Drosophila melanogaster: one gene and its partners. The protein of the gene in region 2 purifies or fractionates together with the protein of the main gene of each other region. This does not show direct contact. Each region holds a gene or a part of one and is shown on either strand. Other genes may lie near its edges.

The links.
Region 1: the proteins of Grip71 (region 2) and dgt3 purify together in Drosophila melanogaster (affinity purification with western blotting, with the first as the bait; one study listed by BioGRID). This does not show direct contact.
Region 3: the proteins of Grip71 (region 2) and dgt6 purify together in Drosophila melanogaster (affinity purification with western blotting, with the first as the bait; 2 studies listed by BioGRID). This does not show direct contact.

What each region holds. Positions count from the first base shown.
Region 1 is NT_033778.4:20,991,776-20,995,967, forward strand, and holds dgt3 (dim gamma-tubulin 3), read right to left. Parts: upstream 2,607-4,192; 5' UTR 2,549-2,606; coding exon 2,531-2,548; intron 2,480-2,530; coding exon 2,151-2,479; intron 2,089-2,150; coding exon 1,726-2,088; intron 1,665-1,725; coding exon 999-1,664; intron 940-998; coding exon 762-939; intron 698-761; coding exon 554-697; 3' UTR 501-553; downstream 1-500. Other genes in the region: Prosalpha3 (proteasome alpha3 subunit), read left to right, coding at 3,216-3,218, 3,328-3,533, 3,671-4,192. UniProt on the Drosophila melanogaster protein: As part of the augmin complex, plays a role in centrosome-independent generation of spindle microtubules. The complex is required for mitotic spindle assembly through its involvement in localizing gamma-tubulin to spindle microtubules.
Region 2 is NT_033779.5:18,706,742-18,712,112, reverse strand, and holds Grip71 (Grip71), read right to left. Parts: upstream 3,268-5,371; 5' UTR 3,176-3,267; coding exon 2,986-3,175; intron 2,927-2,985; coding exon 2,632-2,926; intron 2,570-2,631; coding exon 1,728-2,569; intron 1,673-1,727; coding exon 1,059-1,672; 3' UTR 816-1,058; downstream 1-815. Other genes in the region: Irk3 (inwardly rectifying potassium channel 3), read left to right, coding at 3-109, 380-776; Faf2 (Fas-associated factor 2), read left to right, coding at 3,875-3,997, 4,252-5,316.
Region 3 is NT_033777.3:29,128,084-29,132,920, forward strand, and holds dgt6 (dim gamma-tubulin 6), read right to left. Parts: upstream 2,890-4,837; 5' UTR 2,809-2,889; coding exon 1,947-2,808; intron 1,881-1,946; coding exon 1,446-1,880; intron 1,385-1,445; coding exon 864-1,384; intron 798-863; coding exon 651-797; 3' UTR 501-650; downstream 1-500. Other genes in the region: Vha100-1 (vacuolar H[+] ATPase 100kD subunit 1), read left to right, coding at 3,626-3,742, 4,043-4,219, 4,293-4,421.

The sequences.
Region 1 (4,192 bases), on a different chromosome or scaffold from region 2:
AATCGAGTGAACCAGTGGCCACAACTGTTGGTCCTTTTATATCCGCAAGGACCTCTGCTCGGCAAAACTCGTCCTGCAGCCCGAATGCCGGCAGCCAATGAGAGTCCTGCAAATCGGCGGGCAAATGACTTCGTCTGCACGGAAAGTGAATCTCTAGGTTAGGCGAACAAGGTTTTATGGCCTCACTTGTTGCTCCTTGGCCAAATCTGAATGGTAATCGCTTGGAAACGCCGTCGCGTGCCGCCAGCAATTAATGCGTCTCTTTGGTGGCACTCGTGTAGACTGCTTTAAGACGATGCTGCCTTAATACGCCCGGTGTTTAGTGAACCCAAATCTGATAGCCCAGGGAAAAGGCATTTCAAAGGGGGGAAAACAATTACCAAAGTCGTAAGCAAAAGTAAATCATGTTGCTGCCTAAGAATCTTTACATACACACATTATACAGCATCCCTAAATTTAGTGTATTGACTTATTATTAGACTAGCAACGCCGTAATGTTTATTTTTGAATAATTTAACATTTATTTACTGACCAGATTCTAAATCAACTAAGTTCACTTGCGGTGCAGACCACCACCTGGACGAATTACTGCAGCGGCTGCCTTTTTGACCTCATCAATTGCATGCATCATGCGCTGCGGCTCAGTGAGAAACCAAATCCACAGGACTACGCTATAGCGATACAGTTTATCCCGCTCCTAAAAGGATAAACAACATTAAAATGTTATATTCCATGATTTTATAGTTAATTAGTATACTTACAATGCGCCCCACGACATTTTCCAGGAAATCTTTTCGCAAGGAACGCCCTGACTCATCCAGGCGAGTTTGCTGCTGGGTGACATTGTATATGGCGCTCAAGTAGCGAACGTTCTCAAACATGGGCTGCTCCAATGGGGAATCATAGACAAACGGCCGCAAAGTCTGCTCCAAGCGCTTGCTAAAAAAAAATATTAATAGCTTAAACGATCTGTATCAAAGTTAAGTATTGCAACTTACAGTTCTGCCAGTTGATCCTGAACAGCAGCACACGACTTTCGGTTCAGCATGCTCTGAAAGGAGTAAGACAGCAGGCGACCGAACTTTTCGTATTCGAAGAGACAAGCCTTGGCCTCAGTTGCCTTTATGTTCTGTCCCAAGTGGGCTGACAACAAATTGGCAATCTCCTGCACAAACTGGGCACAAATGCCCTGATAACTGGCGTTAATGGAGCGCATGGTCTGGATTCTTTGCCAAGTGGCCTGCGCTTGGTCGCGCAACTCCTCCGAAGTGTCCAGGCAGTTGCGCTTCTTGTCGCAGTCCAGTTGGATCGCAATCCACAGCAATTCCGCATTGGACAGAGCATCTGAGATGATTTTAGTGAGCTTCTTGTCGCTTTCATGACGTCGAACAGCTCTTTCCAACTTCAGTTTAGTGTTCTCGTAGAGAACCAGCTCAATACGTCGCTGGGTGTGCTGCTGAATGTGAATGGTTAGATCGTTTAAAAGCGTATCGTGTGTATTGCTCAGTTGATAGTCGTTGAGCAGCTGCAGATCGTGCATTTCACGCGCCATGTCCGTTAAACTGAGGCAGTGAATCTTGCCAAGATCCAACTGGTCAATAAGACACTGCGTGGCCTTCACCTTGGCCTTTGTTCTTATGTAGGATAGTGCATAAAACTGGATGCTGTAAAAACGGTCATATCAATTAATGTGCATTGTTTTTAGCACAGAACCTTTGTGCTTACCCACGTTCCAAGTCCTCCAGCTTGGCCTTTTCGCGCCCAAGATCTTCCTCCGCGCTCTGGAACTCATCATAGTCCTGGATCTTAAAATTCTCCTTCACATACAGAGTAAAGTATTGCATAAATGAATCGCATTTGTGGAAATACTGCTCCAATGGCAGTTGATGCATGAATAGAGGCGGCAACTGTGGGGCGGTGAATGCCTTTTTGGCTTCGGCGCTTAGCCGGCAGTTCTCCTGCTGCAGTTCCTCCAGTTGCTTGGCTTTGGACTGGCACTCGGCTATCAGATCCTTCTCCCTCAGTTGCAACTCGGCGGTGACGCACTCCACCTCGCCTAGGTGCTTAGTTATCGAGTGCTTTGTGGTCCTGCAAAAGTGGATTGACCATCGATCGAACATATATGAGGAAGGTTACAGTTTTTCCCTTACATCATATCTTCCAGAAGCGTAGCATAATCCCTTGAGGCATCTTCGATCGCCTCAATGCTCATGGTCAAGGCGTCGACATCCTGCTGCTTGTAGTTGAGAAGCCCCGGACTTTCGGCCTCGATTTGCAGGAGCTTGAGCTCGCGATCCGAAGCACTTAGCCACTCGCCCCGCCGCTGCATCTCCTCCCGCTCCAGAACCTGTCGCTCTGTGAGGATATTTGCATCCGTGATGTTCCCGGACAGGAACTTGAAGAACATCTCCATCTGCTCATCGTACAGAATCCACTGGTTCGAGCTGTCCACTCCCAGCTTCTTGAAGAATTCCGAGTTCTGCAATCATGGCGATTATAAGCTGATCATTAATTAAATCATCACACATACGCTCAGCAGATCGCCCATCTTTTAAAAAAATGACAACACAAGCTGATTACTTATCGGTTATATCGAAAGGTTTCAGAGACGTTACTAGAGATGGTACCTTTTGAAAATTAACAGGAAATAGTGCTTAATAATTAAGCTTAATAAAAATCGTAGAAATTCCTGATTTCCTATCAACGATTTCATGAAATATTTACTCTTATCTATTTCTGTTAAATATATATATATATAATATATATAATATATATATATATATATATATATATATATAATATATATAATATATATATATATATATATATATATATAATAAATTTCTGTTTATTATATATATATATTTTATATATGAATTATTTTAAATTTTTGCTATGAAGTAAGGATACAATTTTTCTAAATTTGACACAAGTTCTTAAGTTTAATTCAAGTAAATATTATGTTTTAGTACACCTCAATCTTAAAGGGCTTATAAATTGATCTTTGTTAAAATGATTTTAATACCTTATATCGATATGTGGATAAACGTGCACACCACCCCTGGTAAATAGAAACACCCTAACGCCATCTAGTTTGCAGCCCTGGTACCGCTTTGGACGCACTTCGTGTGGCAGTCTGGCAACCCTACACTGAATGACAAGTAAATTCTGTTCGTTTTGCAAAATAAACTTGTAAATTGGTATATTCCTTAGCAATGGTAAGTACCGCGCCCAGAAGACCGGTATTGGTCTGAGAGCCACCATTGGGCCGATGACCATTGAAGGCTAGCAATCGTGGTAGTAATTGACTTGCGTGTATTTTCCCAGGCTCGCCGCTATGATTCCCGCACCACGATCTTCTCGCCGGAGGGCCGTTTGTACCAGGTGGAGTACGCCATGGAGGCCATCTCGCACGCCGGAACCTGCCTCGGAATCCTCGCCGAGGACGGCATCCTGTTGGCAGCCGAGTGCCGCAGCACAAACAAATTGCTGGACAGCGCCATTCCTTCGGAGAAGATCTATCGCCTGAACGAGTGAGTTGAAATTTCAGTAGTATATCCTACGATGAATTCAAGGGTCACAGGCCATATATTTAACTGGCCATGATCTTAATTACCCACTACATTCTCTACGAATCTATCTCTATCCAAGCCTCTTTGTTTTCCCTCAGCAACATGGTCTGCTCGGTGGCTGGCATCACCTCCGATGCCAATGTGCTGACCTCAGAACTGCGTCTGATTGCCCAGCGTTACCAGTTCAGCTACGGCGAGGTGATTCCCTGCGAGCAGCTGGTGTCGCACCTCTGCGACATCAAACAGGCGTACACTCAGTACGGCGGAAAGCGTCCCTTCGGCGTCTCGCTGCTCTACATGGGATGGGACAACAAGTACGGCTACCAACTGTACCAGTCGGATCCCAGCGGCAACTACGGCGGATGGAAGGCCACCTGTATTGGCAACAACTTCGGTGCCGCGATCTCCATGCTGAAGCAGGAGCTGGCCGATAAGGAGAACGTGAAGCTGACGCTGGCGGACGCCAAGGATTTGGCCATCAAGGTACTGAGCATGACCCTGGACACCACCAAGCTGACCCCGGAGAAGGTCGAGATGGCCACGCTGCAGCGTGTGGACAATAAGACCGTATACAGTGTCCTGGAGAAACCCGATGTGGAGAAGCTGATCGAGAAGTACAC
Region 2 (5,371 bases):
AGATCTGTTATCGCGACGGCAGGCTTTGTTTGCTCTTCCGCGTCTGTGATCCCCGCGAGCAGCAGTCCATCGAGTCCAAGATACGAGTCTACATCATCGTGGACAAACGGTGAGTCACAGTCGCATTTTAGGGAAAATCATAGAACTTAAGAATCCGCGGTTAATTTGGGTATATTTTCCTATTTTGTCTTGATCTTCAACGTTTTTTTTTCAATATTTATAAATGCTATAGAAACAATTTAATCACACTTGACTCCTGAAATATTGACCCAGTCATAAGGAAAGTCATAAATGAACTGACCTTCCATTCAGATAGTACTTGCTGCTGGATAAAACAAGCAATTAATACGAACCCCCATCTTATCTATTTCTCTGACAGCACGCGCGAGGGTGAGACTATAAAAAGTCACGTGGAACTGAAGCTGGAGGGGAATGGGGAGCAGATTATTCTCTGGCCCGATGTGGTGTGCCATGTCATCGATGAGACCAGCCCGTTGTCTCAGTTCACCACAGCGAAACTCTTCAATGCTGCCCAATTTGAGTTGTATGTGTCCATTGTGGGCACTTCGCCTGCCACAGCGCAGATGACGGAGGCCAAGACGTCCTATCTGCCAAGGGAGATTTTCTGGGGCCAGCGGTTCGTCAATATCATCCATTACGACGCCCAAAACGAGCGCTACATTGTCGACTACGAGAACTTCAACAGGACCATATCGGTGGACATGCCCATGACGAATCCGAAAAATGATCACTTAAAGCTAGAGTACAGAAAGTGAAAAGGGTTTTAAAAAATACATTTTAAGAAGCTTTCTTATCGCATTACACTTTTGGCAGCACTATATTAATAACGAATTCAAAAACATTTTATAGACCGAGGTAAATATTCTAAAACATTTGTAAAATATCTAAATGGATCGATTAACGAATTAAAATTTACATAAAACTCATGAGACGCCAAAACCTATTTTGAAAAATGTTACTAATAGTTGATAATAACAATAAATTAAATACAATAATAACAATGTTTCAATTAATTATTAACATGTCTCCCCCTCGTTTTACTCTCCGCATGATTCAGTTTGCTCCTGCTCCTGGTAAAACTTCAATTTGGCCTTTAACATTTCGTTTTCATTTTGTAGGCGCGAGAACTCGCGCATGAAGCTATCTCCTTGAAGTAGTAAAGCCAGGGCGTCCCGGATCTCCCTTGTGTTTTCCACCTGCTGGTCCATGTAGTTGGTCATCTTATTAGCCAATAGCCGCTGATTAGAGAAGGTAACGTACTCCAATTCGCGCTCCACCTTCTCGCAGCGCTGGTCTACAAAATCTCTTAGCTCGCTGAATTCCTTGCGCCAATCTGCATCCATTTGGGCGGAAAGTCCGCTTGACGATTTGGCCAGCAACTGCTGAGGCTTCAAGAGAGGATTTGAGGATTGTGGTGTGATGTTAGCATGGTGCGGGGTACTGTTTCGACTGGCCGAAAGCAAGCGCAGACGGCGTTTCATTTCTGCGTCAACCGGCGGGGGATTCTCTTTGTCGCTGCCGCCTCCTGTGCTGCTGGCCACGGAAATGTTGGCAGACTGCTCCTCGCAGAGCTCGTCCGTCTCGGCAATCTTCATCAGCTTTCCGTCTCCGGAAATGTTGCTCCGATCCTTCAGTGGGCCGCTTAAGGTCTCTGCAAGTAATAAGCTTATTATAACTAAAAAATAATAATCTCTACAGTAACTTGCGTTGCAGTGACTCCGTGGTGGAGCTGTTGACGGAGTTATCCACCGAGCTTGGGCCAGACGCCACTGGAGGACAAAGACTTTGACGATTGGCAGTTTCATAAGGTTGCGGTTTTCGGTTGAGCGTCTCCCAGTCAAAACTATCTCTGTAAGAGGCGCCCAAGCGGGTCGACATGCGATCCACAGCTCTTGGACCTTGGGCATCCAGGAACTCGCAAAAGGAATCCCGGCGAACTATGGTAGGTGTTGACACCCCGTAACCAAGACTGGTCAGCTGGTTTTGGGTGCTCAACAAATTAGCGGCAATCGATTTACGCAACTCATCGCTGGGCGCACGCTCTACACGAGGAGCTTCGGTCGCCAAACCAGTTGCATTTTCGGAGCTGTTGAGGCTACCGTTCTGCTGGTTATCCCCACTTGGCACGGGCACAAAGGCTACACGTGTTACAGCCGCATCATGTACACTCCTCACGGCCAACGGAGCCTTTGTACTCCTCATATCATAGGCTATTAATTCGCCCTTAAGGTTTCCAGCACAAAGATAAGTGCCACATTCACTCAGCGCCACCGTCGATAGTGGATGCGAGTAGGTCAAGCGATCCGTAGAGGCCTGAGCACGATTTCGTCGAATGTCGAAGATATTTATCTTGCAATCGTAGCCCACGCTGACCAGCAGTGCCGGTTGGGATGTGCACATACTGATGTCCCGGCAGGGAGCACTGTGGGCTTCGCTGGCATGAAAAATCTTTCGCATTCCCTGCACATCATAGACAGTCACGGCTCCTTTATAGGAAGCGATCGACAGATGAAAGCGTTTGCTCGGATGAAAGCGCACAAGAGTAGAGCTGATATTAACAGGATAGCGAAAGATCAATGCAATCCTTTAACAAGCAAGCCTTTAACTTACTCGCCATCTATGGTGAAGGTGTTGGTCTTCTGTTTGGTCTTGGTACCCAAGATACTGATGTCCCCGCCATCGCGCACGGCGGCTATATACTCGTCCGTGTTGTTGTAGTCCATGTAGAGGACAGTACTCCTTTGCGGGTCCGCCGGAAAACGATGGATGAGCTGTGCCGTCCGAAAGTTGTATAGCTTAACACAACCGCTCTGACCCACAGCGATCTCTTCCAGGGATTGCTTGGCGCACGCCACACAGAAGGCATTGTCGATGGTGAGCTTACGGACTCGTTGAATCTCGGGCGCTGTGAAATGGGAAGTTAATTACATACGTGGGATTTGGGGATCCGCACCTCTCTCTTACTCTTGCCATCCTTCTCCTTTATTCGCATCACGGCCAAGCCCGCCATTTTATCCACCTCCACGAAGACCCGGCGTTGGCCGTTGAACTGAAAGTCCGTGGGCTCTGCGTTCTGGTGCACATACTCAGACTTTGTCTCCAGATCCGCGAAGTCGGAGAGCACGGTTTTTTTAGACGTGGAAATAACATGCATTTTGATTTATTTCTTCAGATATTTACACAATTCAAATTTGAGTGCTTTTGTTCGGACTGATTTAAGAATGTGCCCGCTGCTTTATTACCTGAAAATTCCAAAGCTCGTCCGTCGATTTTCCAAGTGATGTTAGACAAATATGCTGATTCCACTACACATTGTCCTTATCTAACACCTTTGAATTATATATCAATATTGCTTTTAATCTTTTTCTGTGTTTTACCACGCCAGGCATAGAGATCAAATAAATAATAAAAATAATTTTTTAAAAAGCGAACACAAATTGTTTGTTTGCCGCTGGATTTCGCAGTGAGAACGCGTCGGCCTGCGCGGTCACACTAGTCATTCACAACCAAATTCATCGGATCATTGGCAGAAAGGCAAGAAGAAGAGCAAGCAATCACCTGCGAAAAAGAAATAAATTGCCGAGAAATGTTAAAGACGTTGTAGTGCGGCAATTTGGCGTGCGTTGAAATGACTCCTGGCGACCAGTAGAAGCATTTAGTGACCACGCTACTCATCCCCCGTCCCCCGCCGCAGCGGCTGAGCCACTGGACAAAGGCCAGCTTACAACAAAAACAACACCAGGGAGACAGTCACGGGCCATTGGCACCCACACAAGCACACACACGCACGCACTGCGTAAAAGCAAACAACAACGATAACAACTGGGAACGGAGGCCTTCAACTGCAGGAAAGATGGAAGCTGATGGACTGACCAACGAACAGACGGAGAAGGTCCTCCAGTTCCAGGATCTCACCGGCATCGAGGATATGAACGTCTGCCGCGACGTCCTAATCAGACACCAATGGGATCTCGAGGTATGCATATGTTTATATGCCCACACAGTGAATGTCAAAATAACAGGGTCACGTAGTCTTGCAGTCTTGCATACAGTGGTGGCTGCAAGAATACTACTACCAACAAGTTTTGTACATATATATTATCTGACGACTAAAGATAGTAATCATTTTATTCTAAATTCTTTTTAAATTTGTTTTTTACAATTTTGCGTTGGGCGCCCTGCTATACTAAATACCAGCTTATTTACCCTTTTTCATATCTACATATGCAGGTGGCCTTCCAGGAGCAGCTAAATATCCGCGAGGGGCGTCCGACCATGTTCGCCGCCTCTACAGATGTCCGAGCGCCCGCTGTCCTTAACGATCGCTTCCTGCAGCAGGTGTTTTCCGCCAACATGCCTGGCGGAAGGACGGTTAGCCGGGTGCCCAGTGGCCCCGTTCCCCGCAGCTTCACCGGCATCATTGGATATGTGATTAACTTCGTGTTTCAGTACTTCTACTCCACGCTGACGAGCATCGTCAGTGCGTTTGTGAACCTGGGCGGAGGAAACGAAGCCCGCTTGGTGACAGATCCACTGGGGGATGTGATGAAGTTTATTAGGGAATACTACGAAAGGTATCCCGAGCACCCGGTCTTCTATCAGGGCACATATGCCCAGGCCCTTAACGATGCTAAGCAGGAGCTGCGTTTTCTAATCGTTTACCTGCACAAGGATCCCGCCAAGAACCCAGATGTGGAATCCTTCTGCCGCAACACACTGTCGGCGAGATCGGTCATTGACTACATTAACACACACACCCTGTTATGGGGATGCGACGTAGCCACGCCGGAGGGCTACCGGGTGATGCAGTCGATAACGGTGCGCAGCTACCCAACGATGGTGATGATCAGCCTTCGAGCAAATCGCATGATGATCGTCGGACGTTTCGAGGGGGATTGCACGCCCGAAGAGCTGCTCCGTCGCCTCCAGTCGGTGACGAACGCCAACGAGGTGTGGCTGAGTCAAGCGCGTGCAGATCGCTTAGAGCGGAATTTTACACAGACTTTAAGAAGACAGCAGGACGAGGCATACGAGCAGAGTTTGCTTGCGGACGAGGAGAAGGAGCGTCAGCGGCAAAGGGAGCGGGATGCCGTCCGGCAGGCGGAGGAGGCTGTGGAACAAGCTCGACGCGATGTCGAGCTTCGCAAGGAGGAGATTGCCCGGCAAAAGATCGAGCTGGCCACATTGGTGCCATCCGAGCCGGCAGCGGATGCTGTCGGCGCCATTGCAGTTGTATTCAAGCTGCCCAGTGGAACACGCCTAGAGCGCCGATTTAACCAGACGGATTCGGTGCTTGTAAGTTACACAAATTTAAACTGCTAATTTGGGATTGATGATTTGATGTTATTGC
Region 3 (4,837 bases), on a different chromosome or scaffold from region 2:
GTGCGGCTAGACATGTGATAGGCGCGGACCATAAAGACCAAAAGTAATACCATACAATAACATGTATACAGAGACACAAAAGTACATATCTCACATTCATGAAGTTTAAGTTAACGATAATTATTATAATTTTCGAATTTAATAAAAATGAATTCATTGAAGACACACTTTTCAGTTTTGTTCTTATTTTATTTCTCCATCATTATATTCACTCATTTTTTTTTATTTTTATACAATTTGTTTCATACTTTTGCCGTTCATTCATCTAGAACGCTCAACCCACTCATTTCAGAAAGTCTGATTTTGCAAGGATGTAACAGATCGCTGAAGCCGCAATGAAGAACAATAGCTATAAGATATGACTTTTAAAAGTATATATATAATAAACCTTAATACTGCCTCAAAGGTTGTTTATTTCAATAATAATCTTAAGTCCTGAAACTCGAATTTCGAAAAGCCTGGTATACTTATAGATGTATTTAAAAGAAGAAAATTGCTTTCAAGCTGAAAGATTTTAGTTTTAATTTCATATGGGTAATATTAAAAACTAAAGTAAAAAGTATATTTCGTTTAAAAACCTCATAACCAATTAGAAAAAGAATACAAAATCTATTACCTAAACAATATTGGCCATTCGCGATTCCCGTGGACTAAAAGATAATATCCTTGAGCACGCTATCGCTGATGTTCTGCAGGTCATCCTCACCACCAATCTGATCAAAATCGAATTTATGCGAGACATTGAATGCATTCTTATCGTTTTCAATGTTGAAATCGGGATCAAGCTGCAGTGAGTCCTGTAAAAAAAAGGAACTTGAGATTCGTATATTTCGTAGGCACGTATTATTGTTGATCCCACTTACATTGATTGTTCTGTCGTTGAGCTGAAGACGTGGCGCGACATCTTGCTGGTGGCTCTCGGTATGTGGAACCAGTGCATCTAGGCGTCCAGATGGCGAGGTGCTAAGATTAAGCACATTCCGTGATACCTCCAGGACCTTTATAACCGCAGCGCTCTTGGCGATCAGTGAAGTGTTGTTTTCCGAAGTGCGCGGAATGCGCTCAATTCGGGTGCACTCGCTACCACTCAAGGGTGTAAAGGGATCGCTGGGATCCGTTGGTGAGGTCTGAGGTGAGATCACTGCTGCTCCTGGCACCGGCGCCTCATCGAAACCGAATGACGCTTGCATTTGCTTCCACTTGCTGCCCAGGGAGGAGAGATTCGCCTGCGGAGCTGCCTTGACCTTGGAGGTGTTTTTGTGAATGGTGCGCAGCATTTGCATGGGATCGTTGATCTTGGATCGGTTTAAAGTGCCATTAAGGTCAATGCCGGTCGATTGATCAAGGGCTTTCAGCTTGCGTGCTGATCGAGGCGGCGCAGGTGCTGAAAAGGAAAACTCATAAGGATGAGGGTCACTAAGCGAACGGTTTAGTTCACTCCTTACCGAGTAAGCTGTTGCTTAAGGCATCAAACTGTTTGCCATTGAAGTCATCTTGCAGTGCAAGACGCACTGGGGCATTGCGACCGCCACCGCCGCCCATGTCGATTCTGATGGGAGGCGTGGAAACAAATTTGGAGCTGATAACCGATTCGAAGCGAGGCGTGGCCGGCTGAAGCGTCTGTACCCTGGCGGAGCCACTTGCATTGGCACTTCCCTTGTCCTTTTTGGACGGTTCGTTTAGTTTCTTGAGTAAATTGTTCAATTGGACTTCGGACTGTGAAAGTTCCACTCGAAGAGCCTGCAAATCGGTGGTGACAAACGCATTCGATTCGTTGTAGTGGTCATTAGCATCCAGTTGCTCGGCAATTGTGCCGCTGATCCGATTAAAGCCGTTTAAGAGCGCATCCATTTTTGATGCGCCCAAAGGATCGTAGAAATCTGCGAAGGAATTGAAAAACCATTTAAATTTAAAGACCTGCAAGGATGCAACCAAAGATGTCTCACCTCCTTCTGTGACTGCATCACAGTCGAACAGCACTCGCATGCCCCGAAGTGCCTTCTCCACCGCCTCCTTGCTCTGGTTGTTCTCGGCTTGCTTCACCTGGAAAAGATCGATGGCCTCCTTGAGACCGCACAGAGATGCCTCCAGGTCGAATTTCCTTTCGGTGGGTTGGGTAATGACCCGCTCCACGCCGAGTGCAGCGGTGGCCTCGAACTCATCCAGAAAGCCATCGTCCGCCAGTTGCTCCTCGGGCACTCCCATGTCTGCAGACAGATCGGCCATCAGGCGTCTGATCTTCTGGGTCTTGTCCCGCAACAGGGCCGTATTCTCCTCCAGATTGACCACATACGAAGAAGCGTACTCCTTCATCACGGCATTTTGGCGGGCCATGACCTTGGCGCTCACGTTTGGTGTTCCCGCCTCTAAGCCAAGTGACTTCTCGCGCTGCTTGATGAGCTCCTGGATCACGAAGCCCACGAACTCGAGCAGGAAGTTGATGAACCTCATGCCTCCGGGCATCACCACCAGATACGACTTGATGTTGGCCCAATGCAGCTGGTGCTTCTCGTTCAGATGCTTCAGATACTCCACCGTGCTGGAGCGAAAGTTCGCCTCCGACTTCTTGTCGGTGATGGGCCAGAAGAAGCGGCGTTTGAACTCCGCGGGATCCAGCAGACGGAAGAGGTAGTGCATCACATGCACGAAGGCCACCTGGTTGGGCTTGAGGAACATGTCCCAGGCAATCAGCTTACGCAGCTCGTCCGGCAGGGGGTGCACCAGGGCCAGTCCCTGCAGCTTCCTGTGGAGCTTCTCGCTCTGCTCCTTCTCTTCGGCCTTCCACGGTGCAATTATGGTCCGATCCATATTTTAGCACAGAAATTAAGTAAAATATGGCGGTTTAGTTTGAAGTTCTTTGTTTTTGTTGCTGCCCAGTGTTACCAAGTGGTTGAATTCAACTGAATGAAGACGTTCCCACTGCCTGTTTATATTGACGAAAAATGTTATATAAAAGGGATAAATCTATTTATTTTCCCTAGGAATAGTAACTGCGAATAGCATTTGTGTTTTTTAAATGTTTTTTATAATATTTCCCAGATATTTGTTTTTAAGTACAAATTTATTTCCCTAGTTACTCGATTGGTATAAATCCAATGACCTGCCACGGTCACACTAGATTCATAGTTCGGAAATTTGTCGGTTGCTGGAGTTTGTGGACGAATTTATATTTAATTTTTAAGCACTTGGTAATTAACTAATCGACGTTCATTTCGAAGTGACCCCCTGACAAACTAAATAGTTTTCGGATAAAGCTCGAGCCCAGTCACTGGCTGACCCCCAACGAGCCGAAAACCTTGGCATCCGGGTCCAACGTAGCACTTTCTTTTTGTCCGCGGCGGAGAAAAATCAATATACGCATGGGGTATAGAAATCGAATCTCGGCGCATATATAGTATAGATTACAGACAAATAATCTGGGGGACAAGCGAACGTCCGCCCACCGAAACGATAACCAAATCAGCATGAAAATATGTATGCGACACGGCCGCAAAACTTAGGAAGAAACCCAGTTTGGCCATGAATCATGCAATTGAATGGGCCCATTGTGTACTATATATGTACATATGCATTCTGATTTAGTGTCTGTTCTCCATTCGCAGATATCGGGAATCCGGCTGCCACAATGGGTTCCCTATTCCGCAGCGAGGAAATGGCGCTGTGCCAGCTGTTCCTGCAGAGCGAGGCGGCCTACGCCTGCGTCTCCGAGTTGGGAGAACTGGGATTGGTCCAGTTCCGAGATGTGAGTAGGATGGGTTACATAAAGCTGCGGTCGAGGCAGCCGCACTGACTAACCATAAACCACAATCATACCCCTTACCTCATTAGCGAATTCGGTATTCCATGAAACGTCCCCTTTAACGCGAATGCAAAGTAAATGCAAAGCTGGTGACACCAGCTACTAAGTGTATAGTATAACTACGTGTGTTACCTCATTTAAATAAAATTGAAAAATATAGTGGCATAAGTGCTATATCTTGATCGCACAAATGAAGTATCTTTGAGATCCCCCAATAACAAACCAATCTTTTGAAATCCGCAGCTCAATCCCGATGTCAACGCTTTCCAGAGGAAGTTCGTCAACGAGGTGCGCCGCTGCGATGAGATGGAGCGCAAGCTGCGTTACCTGGAGAAGGAGATCAAGAAGGACGGCATCCCCATGTTGGACACCGGGGAGAGTCCCGAGGCCCCGCAGCCCCGCGAGATGATCGACCTGGAGGTATACGCCGCCATACTCCCTGTTTTCTGCTAAACACTGTTGAACTTATATGGCTTTCTTGTCTGCTGCTCAGGCCACCTTTGAGAAGCTGGAGAACGAGCTGAGGGAGGTGAATCAGAACGCCGAGGCCCTGAAGCGCAACTTTCTGGAGCTGACCGAGCTGAAGCATATTTTGCGCAAAACCCAAGTGTTCTTCGATGAGGTAAGCTGCGGCATGAGTAACTCCATATGGGTATCAGCTAACAAACTGCGATCGGTTACCGATTTACCATTAACAAATGCCGGCCATTGAAGCGGCCGGTAACTAACCAAATTTTCTAAGCAATAACCAATTTCCCAACCGACAACACAAGTGTGGCAGCCACGACTTCTAGTCACATAAGCAATCTATCCCAAATTACACTCTAAAATTATTTCCCCGTATCTCCCCACTCGGCACGTATATCCTCCTTCTCTGCTTCCAAAGGCAAACGAAGTGTGCTTTCTTACCCTTCAGTTTGAGTTTGTACATATATATCGTAATGTGCGTTTGATATCAGTTGATGGTTATTGTTTCTTTCGGTCGCGTTCCTGGGCAATCAGAGGAAAGCCATGGGGCAATAGGTTCTAAAATATATT